Oryctolagus cuniculus: one gene and its partner. The protein of the gene in region 1 interacts with the protein of each later gene in a biochemical or structural test. Links are inferred from orthologs where the notes say so. Each region holds a gene or a part of one and is shown on either strand. Other genes may lie near its edges. The genes, in order: PLAU and plasma serine protease inhibitor.

Evidence for each region.
Region 2: the proteins of PLAU (region 1) and plasma serine protease inhibitor form a complex in vitro, tested with the Homo sapiens proteins (2 studies listed by BioGRID). The link is inferred for Oryctolagus cuniculus from reciprocal best matches to the Homo sapiens genes PLAU and SERPINA5.

The regions. Positions count from the first base shown.
Region 1 is NC_091446.1:64,942,954-64,947,311, forward strand, and holds the start of PLAU (urokinase-type plasminogen activator), read left to right. Parts: upstream 1-1,276; 5' UTR 1,277-1,350; exon of another isoform or gene 1,351-1,377; intron 1,378-1,704; 5' UTR 1,705-1,735; coding exon 1,736-1,792; intron 1,793-2,214; coding exon 2,215-2,248; intron 2,249-2,397; coding exon 2,398-2,505; intron 2,506-2,826; coding exon 2,827-3,001; intron 3,002-3,202; coding exon 3,203-3,294; intron 3,295-3,450; coding exon 3,451-3,670; intron 3,671-3,886; coding exon 3,887-4,035; intron 4,036-4,358. UniProt on the Homo sapiens protein: Specifically cleaves the zymogen plasminogen to form the active enzyme plasmin.
Region 2 is NC_091451.1:39,381,482-39,386,034, forward strand, and holds the start of plasma serine protease inhibitor, read left to right. Parts: upstream 1-1,496; 5' UTR 1,497-1,635; intron 1,636-4,553. UniProt on the Homo sapiens protein: Heparin-dependent serine protease inhibitor acting in body fluids and secretions. Inactivates serine proteases by binding irreversibly to their serine activation site. Involved in the regulation of intravascular and extravascular proteolytic activities.

The DNA of each region.
Region 1 (4,358 bases):
AAAAACAAACAAAAAAAACTTTAAACTGGGACCAGTGTTGAGATGTGGCATGTTAAGTCACCGCTTGTGACATACTGGCATCTCCTGCCTGAGTGCCAGCTTGAGTTCCAGCTGCTTCACCTCCAGTCTAGCTCCCTGCTAATGTGCCTGGGAAAGCAGCCAGAGATGGCCTAAGTACCTGGGACCCTGCTACCTATGTTGGAGACCTGGATGGAGCTGCAGGCTGCTGGCTTCAACCTGGCCAAGCCCTAGCCATTGTGGCCATTTGGAAAGTGAACCAACAGTCTGAAGATCTCTTTCTCTGTCTGTCACTCTGTTTTTAAACAAATAAAATAAATATTTTTTTTAAAGCCTAAAAGGGCATACAGTGAGAAATAAATACTTTTCCTATCTTGTTCTCTAGTCCTCTTCCTACCCCTCCATAGCTTCCTGCCTGCATTTTAATAAGGTTTTACCGTTCCACTGTTTTTATTAACCAACTTTATCTTTGCCCAAGCAAATAAACAAATTGTTCATTACAAGAACTTCCCCAAAACTCATCAGCACTTCTACAGGAAGCATCTATGGCTTGCATCCTAAGTCTTTGTTCCCACAGTCCTACAATATCATACTACTACCCTCAAGCTTTCGGAAGCCCCCACTTTCAAAGACTAACCATGAACCAAACTGCAAACTCCCAGTAAAATCTGACCTTGCCTCTCCCGCTCTGACATCACTGTAACTCCTTGACCGCCGGTAAGCAATCAGCTCAGCCTGTCTTATCCACTGGTTTTATTTGTAATATCCGGGGATCTGACAGCCCCTGTTGGCAGGAATCTTTGTGTTTGTGTTAGGAAGCGGATGTTATATGCATTTTTCACGCTGACAAAGAGACAGCTGCATACTATGCCCCTATACTGGGGGTCTGAATCATTGCCTAGGCAGGTGGGGGCCGAGGGTGGAAAGGTTGGGAAGAACTGATTGCAGGACTCCTGAGAAGGCTTCAGAGTTGGGAGGGTGTTTCCTGAGTTCCTTCTCCTCGCTGCAACTCAGCGCCCCCAGCCCCGGCGCGGGCTCAGGGCCAGGTGAACGGGAAGAGAGCGGAGAATTTATACGCCTTCGGACTCGCCTCTTCTCCTCCGCTGGGGATCGTGCTCTTTGTTAAAGTTTTCGGAAGCGCACGGGGTTCTAGTCGCAGCAGTCCGCAGGGAACAGCAGGAGAGGGCGGAGAGTGCAGCCTGCGCTCGGAGCGGGGGCGGGGCCCGGGCCTGGGCGGGTCCTCATATACAGCCGGCGTCCAGCGCCAGCAGCACAAGGCGGAATCTGGAGCGCCGGATCTGGGCTGAGCGTCCACCTACACCCGCAGCGCAGGTCCGCATCCTCCTGCCGCAGCCACTGGTGAGCAAGGGTGGTCCCAAGAGCGTCGGGCGGGATGCGCAGCGGTCCCGGCTCCCGGGCGCCTGCCTTTCCTCTACCTCGGGCTGCCGGGCTGCGCAGCGGCTGCCGGCAATCCCTGCTCCCGATCCCAAGCGTTCCCAAGCGGGTGCAGGTCTAGGATTCTCTGAGTCTGCAGTCCCCAGACAAGAGAGGTGGCTGGTCCTGGGGAACCTAGTCACCGAGGGCTCGGCCCGCAGGAACCTGGGGCTCCTCCCTGTGCTGCAGTAACCCGCACTGGCGGCCTTCTCGCTCTTCTGCTTCTTACCCTGACTTCTCCTTCCCTTGCAGAGCCGCTGTATAGGGCCCCAGCCTCGCCACCATGAGAGTCCTGCTGGTATGCCTGCTTCTCTGCGCCCTGGTCGTGAGCGACTCCGAAGTGAGTGACTTTCCTGATTTGTCTTGTGTCGCAAAAGGGGGTGTGCAGGACCCCGAATAGCGCCAGGGGAAGGGGAGATTCACTTAACAGCCTTGCCAGACTCCCCTGAGAGAATAGGAAAGGTGAGGCAGTGGGGGCTTTGAGAACTATGGGGGCTTGCACTTGTGGGCAAGGGTGGAAGAACCCCCAGGACTGCCCCAGTTTGAAGGCACCTACTATGTAAAGCTCACTTCATTCAACTCATTTTTCTCTACTGGAAACCCATGATTTTCCATGTGGAGGCTTGTTAGATATAAACAGGGTGAGGGGAGAGAGAGCTGGCCAGAAGAGTGGATTTGGGAATGGTGCCAGTTTATCCACTCCCTGGAGTCCCAGGAGCATGAGACCTTCGGTGACCTGCCCCTCTCCCCCCTCTCTTCCAGGGAAGCCATGAACTTCACGGAGTGTCTGATGCTTGTGAGTATCCACCCCTTGCACAACAATTGGCTGCACAGGCATCTTGGAAAAGCCTTAGAGGGCAGCCACTCCTTGTCCCTGCTGCAGAACTGCCTCCCCTCCTCTACCGTGCTCCAGCTCCTTGTTTACCCTACCTTTGTACTTTCCAGCAAACTGCGGCTGTCTGAATGGAGGAACATGTGTGACCTACAAGTACTTCTCCAACATTTGGCGATGTAACTGCCCAAAGAAATTCCAAGGAGAGCACTGTGAGATAGGTATGGGGATCCTGACTCTAACCTGGAAGAGGAGGCACAAGAGATTGCGGGACAACGAGAGATGGGTGGGATGCAAGCAAAGGCAGGAGTTAGGAGCTGCAGGTGGGGTGGGTGACATCTTCCTTGCAATGTGGTATATACAGCCAAACATAAACACATGCACAAAGAATCTCATGAAGCAGTGGCTGCACAAATGTGAGGTGGGGTGGAAGGAGAAGCTTTGCAGTGTCTTCTGCCCTATCTGAAAGCTTATTATCTCTAAAATGCCGGTTATGCATTTCCTCCTTTACTAACATTTCTTGTCCTCGGATCATTCTGTAGATACATTGAAAACCTGCTATCATGGGGATGGTCACTCTTATCGTGGAAAGGCCAACACTGACATCATGGATCGACCCTGCCTTGCCTGGAACTCTGCCAATGTTCTTACGAAAACATACCATGCCCACAGACCTGATGCCCTTCAGCTGGGCTTGGGGAAACACAATTACTGCAGGTGAGGAAGAGGATGGTAAGGACCTGGAGTCACCCTATGGCTTCACAAAAGCCCTCATTACCAACCCCTTCTCCTACCAGAGTGCTGGCCAGAACATGAGACAAGAGAGGTTTCTGGTTGAGTCATCCCTGGAGGGGAAGGGAGGATGCAGGGAGGACAGTGTGGGTTGGAATGACATCCCCTACCACTCCATGTTGCCAGGAACCCAGACCACCAGAGAAGACCCTGGTGCTATGTGCAGGTTGGCCTAAAGCAGCTCATCCAAGAGTGCAAGGTGCATGACTGCTCTTCAGGTGAGTTTCCCTGGCCTGTTCATCACAGTGGAGTGGAAGGGGACAAACTCACGTGTCCTCTTCTTCCATCACAGAATGAGTGATGAGGGAGGCCTGCCTGAGTGGGCTATTTTATCTTACCTGCCTCCCCAAGACATTTCTCTCTTTCTCCTTTAGGAAAAAAACCTGCCCTTCCTCCAGGAAAATTGGAGTTTCAGTGTGGCCAGAAGGCTCTGAGGCCCCGTTTTAAGATTATTGGGGGAGAATTCACCATCATTGAGAACCAGCCCTGGTTTGCAGCCATCTACAGGAGGCACCGGGGAGGCTCTGTCACTTATGTGTGTGGCGGCAGCCTCATCAGTCCTTGCTGGGTGGTCAGCGCCACACATTGCTTCATGTACGTCCCTCTCTAGTCTCTCAATCTTCCTCCTCCTGCACCCCAAACACATCCCTTTCTTCTTCCCAGCAAAGTACTCCACCTCAATTCTGTCTCACTGAAACATCTGTCTCCTGGCCTTGAGGACAAGTCATGCTTGGAGGCCACTATGATGGGGAGGAGGAGCTGACAGGGTTTCATGAAGTCAGATTGTCTGACAGGTCTTACCTCCCACAGTAATCACCAAAAGAAAGAGGACTACATTGTCTACTTGGGTCGGTCAAGGCTTAACTCCATGACACCTGGGGAGATGAAGTTTGAAGTGGAGCAACTCATCTTGCATGAGGGCTATAGCGCTGACACACTGGCTCATCACAACGATATTGGTGAGTGGAAAGCCCTCACCTGCCATGATGATGATGGCTGTGGAAAGAGGAGCTAAGGAGAGAACCAAGTGGGGGCTAAGGTTGTAGAGCAACTTGAAATCCCTGCTTCGTACAACATGAGGAATGGTGGGAAGTCAGAGAGAAATATATGAAGGCCCTGGTGCTCTTCCATAGAGACCCTGAATTTCTCTCAACTGGTGCCTCTTCTGAGTGGAAATGGCTATGGGTGAATATGGCTTGTGCTGGGAATGTCCTGTTCATGCAAATTAGAAGAAGATATTCCTACTGCTGTTAGATGAAGCCTTATATAGACGCAGAATTTG
Region 2 (4,553 bases), on another chromosome or scaffold:
AAGAAGGCAAACCCTGGCCGTGGGGGAACAGCCTCCCCTCCCCTCGTTCCTTGCTGTGTGACTGTGAGCTGATGGCCCAACCTGTCTGTTGCTGCACTGTGTTGGCGCTAAGCAAAACAATTGCCCGAGTCTGCGAAAGTGTGGCCATCTCAGGACCCTATAAAAGTGTGCCCGTCTCGGGACCCTGCGAATGTGTGCCTGTCTCAGGACCGGGCCAGCCATCAGCAGCTGTCTTGCAGCATGGTTATAAAGACTGCAAAGACAGCGTGCCCGAAGCCCTGGGTTTGGTGTGTGGTCCTTTAAAAAGCATCACCAGACGAGGGCTGTTCTTTGTTGCTGCTTCTCGAAGGTGATGATTTCGCTTTTTTTCCTTTTCTTTCCTCTTTTCCCTTCCTTCCTCCCCTTCTTTCCTTTTAGAAACTTCACTGTCTTTAAAGACCCCAAGAATGTCCAGACCATTGAGGAACATCCTCTTAGTTTTTTAATTCCATTCTTTCTGTTTCTTTTTCTTTCTTGGACCAAACAGGAGAGGGAGGAGGCGGGGTAGGGGGGAGTGGGTGGGAGGGCGGGTGCGGTGGGAAGAGTTACTATGTCTCTAATGTTGTAAGTATGAGATACATACAAAATAAATACATAAAAAAGTGTTACTAAACACTCCCTCTTATCTCTGCTGGGGAAACATAGAGAACTCTTTGGGCTCCAAAGTCAGGGAGAAGGGAAAGGTGGGGTCTCGGCCGTTGGGAGGGACACGCCTCCCCCGGGAAGCACCCGGTCTGTGTTTTGCTCAGCCAGCTCCACACTGCGCCTGCGCCCACACGCAGCACCCTGCGGTGAGCGGAAGCCCAGCATGGGGCCTTGGGTCATGGAGCGAGGCTTCAGCCAGGCCCCTGTGCCAGCCGCTTGGGAGTCTTCTGAAGAGGCCAGGACAGAGTTGGAGACCCTCATTTCAAGGCAGGAAGGGTCAGTGCAGCCAAGAGCGCTGGCCTTGAAGTCAGCCCCCGGGCACCAAGCCTCTTTCTGCCACTAACACCATGTGTGACGCTGGATGTTTCCTTCTGCCCTGGCAGCCTCGGCGCAGGCGCTAGTGCACTCAGGGGGTTGGATTCTGTGATGACCCTTTGTCTCAGCTGGGTGGGGGGTGGGGGTGGGGGGCTCACGGAGACCCTCTCCTCCAATTGCCATGGTCTGTGATGCAGTAAGCCCAGCCCAGGCTCAAGCCACGCTCTCCCAATCTGCAGAAAAAGAATTGAGACTAGTGAAAGGGAAGGACTGGCCTGAGGGTGCCCCCTCCCCATTTCTGGAAGGCAGCAGCCAGTGGCCCGTGTAAACCACCCCCACCCCAGAGTGGCCATTCCATTCCAGGCAAGTGGTGATCAGTGTGGGGCTTGGGAGCATGTAAGAGGGGCCTGGTAACAGCCCCTGGCTCCTGCTGCTTTGCTTTCAACAGGAAGCCTGCTGGGACAGGACAGGGCGGGCCAGGCGGGGCCAGGCGGGGCCAGGCGGGGCCAGAGGAGGGGTGGAGACAGAGCCACCGTGGTCAGTCAGGTACAAAGGCTGGCTGTCTCCAGGCAGCCCTCTGCCCTCTGCTGTGTCCGACAGACCGCCACCTCCTTTTGTGCACGCTGGGCCTGCAGAGTAAGTATAGCTCCTGCTCCCGGGGGGCCCGTGGGAGGCACAGGAGTGCAGGGAGGGGCACAGGCAGCCTGGAGCATGGTGGGCTTACAATGCTCAAGAGCCCTGGGGGAGTGTCAGAGCAGCTGGAAGGGCCCCTGCAGGGTCAGGGGGCAAGCGGGGCTCTGAGGCAGCAGAGAGGGTCCCCCCACCCCCGCTCCAGGACCTCGGGCTCCACACTCAATGTGGCAGAGCCTCTGCATGGTGTGGCTCTCACCCCACCACAGCCGGCAGTGTCTGGAGACAGGTGGCCTGTCACCGCTGGACAAGGTAGGACAGGTACTAAGGGCTGGAGGCCAGGGACATCGCCAGACACCCCCCAGTGTACAGCAGGGCCCCGGAGAGGGAAGGATCTTGCTGCCTGTGCCCCCTGGGCCAAGGTCAGGGAGCCCTGAAATAAAGCAGCGGGAAGGTGTCTGCTAGACAGCCCTCAGTCAGTGGTGGCTCGTGCTATTTTCTGGGCCTAGAGACTCAGAAAAATTACCAGGAGAAATGGCCAAAGATAACTCCTTCCCCGAGATAAGGGCCCTGCCTGGGGGCTGCCCCCAGGGGCAGTCGTGGGGTGGCTCCAGGAGCCCTTAGGCGCTTTGTTAAGTAAACAAACAGAGAAAGGAAGTTAACAGCTCTGGATGGCCCCTTGGGCTAAAGCGGCAATCAAAGCAGAGGCTACCCTGGGCCAGGGCCCTGGGTCCCAGCTCAGGGAACCCCAGCCTGAGAGCCGGGGTGCGGGAGGTGCCGGCCACGTCTGGCATTGACTGTCGGGTGGCCTCATGGTGCGCACTCGTGTGCTTGCTGGGGCAGCTCATGAAATCAGCTCAGACCAGCAGAGAGGAAGCCCAGCACACGCTCTGCTCATGCTCAAGGTCACCCGCAGAGCTCAGCTGCGGGTGCCCAGCCTGGCTCTGGTGCCAGCACTCAGTGTCCAGCAGGCGTCCGCCACCTGCGGATTTCACAGGAGGAGCCAAGGTCCATTCATTCCTTCACCTGCTCACTCACTCACTCATTCGCCCCGCCTCGTCCATGATAGCAACAGCTCACTGCAGAGAGTGGGGTTGAGGCACTGGGAGAATTGGGCCTCAGGGCAGAGTGGGCCAGAGAGGCTGGGAGAGCCAGGTCACTGGGGCCTCAAGGGTCAGGGTCACAGTGGACCCCTGCAGTGGTGCACCTCAGTCTTCCTGCCTGTGAAATGGAGCTGCCTCCGTGGGAAAGGCGTGAGGCTGGAGGAGCAGAAATGTCAACACTGTGCGGTGCCCGACAGAGGTGCCGCCGCCACCATGGGCCTGGGCCTCCCGCACGGCGATGGCAGAGGCTGCTGGCTTGGTGCCGGGGGGCTGTGGCTCTGCAGGCACAGCCTCCTCCATCAGCCTCCTTCTCCAAGCTCAGCGTGCAGCGTGGAGGCCAGGAGTACTCAACGTGGCTCAGACAGACAGACCTGCAGCCCTGGTCTGCCCATCTCTCCCCGGCTCAGCAACCATTTCCCACGCCACTGCTGGGGGCCCCTTGGGCGTGGTTGGGGTCAGGTGACCGGCAGGCTGGCCCCGCTTGCCCTGGGCCTGCAGGGCCCGATAGGATGGTGCCCAGAGTGGGAGAGAACCCAGCAGGAGGGGACTCACTCCAGGAATGGAACGCAGCGGGGACAACCGCCTAGAAGCAGGCAGGCCATCCGCAGCTCGGCAATCGGCTGCCGGGGCTGCTTTCAGGTGCACAGGAGGGTACGTGTAGAAGGCGTGCACCCCACGCAAAGCAGATGAAATGGGGTCTCAGGCGAGGCCTTGGCCAGACGTGGCCCCACTGGCTCCTCATGCACTGGCACTTCTGCCAGCTTTTATCTATGGTGATCAGCTGAAGGCCACAGGTGCCCAGGGAGCCGGTCCTGATATCACTTCTGCCTTTCGGGTGGGAGTGGGGGCTCCAGTGTAACTGACCTGCCCCACATCACATGACCAGGCCGCAGTAGGGCTGAGATTGGCACCGGGTAGTGGGCTTTGCAGTGTGGGCTCTGCAAAGCCGTGGGGTAGACGAGGGACTTAGAACAGAAGCCAGACAGGGAAGCAGGAACAGGAGATGGCTCCAGGGTGGAGGAAGGGAGGGAGGAGGTGCTGAAGGCAGAAGGCAGGCAGAAAGAGCTAAGCTGACACAGGCCACCTGACGGCCCCCAGGGCCACGCGGAGAGCCTCCTCCTCTGGAAGATGGAAAGAGAAGATGGGCTGTGTCCTGGGGCACCAGAGACAACCCCCCCCCCCCCCCCCCCGCCGCCGCCTGAGCAGCAGAAATTCCTCTCTAGTGCTGGAGGCCAAGCCTGAGACCGAGGTGCCAGGGGGTCTCTGCAGGCCCCTCCGTGGTGGATAGATGCTGCCTTCTCCGTGTCCCACCGTGGTCCTGCTCTGCACCTGTCATGTCCACAGCCCCGTGCACCTGTGTGTCCTCACCTCTGCACCTGTGTGTCCTCACCTCTGCACCTGTCTGTGTCCTCACCTCTGCACCTGTGTGTCCTCACCTCCTCTGCACTTGTGTGTCCACAGCCCCTCTGCACCTGTGTGTCCTCACCTCTGCACCTATCTGCGTCCTCACCTCCCCTTCTATTATGAGGACATTGGTCTGGTCCCTCCCTAGTGGCCTTGTTTTGGCTCGATCACCTCTATCAAGGCTCTGTCTTTAAATGCATCCTGCGGTCTCAGGGTCAGGATGTCCACACAGCAGCTGATGACACGGAAGAGGAGGGGCCTGGATGCGCACAGTAAGAGGCAACTTCCTGAGCGGGGGTGGCCTGCTCAGCTACCGGGAGAGAAGGGGCAGTTGTCTGTGTGCCGGTGCCCTGCCCGGCACAGGGGAAGCTCACGGTGTGAACCGGGACAGCAGGGCTCAGAGCCCACAGCGGGCAG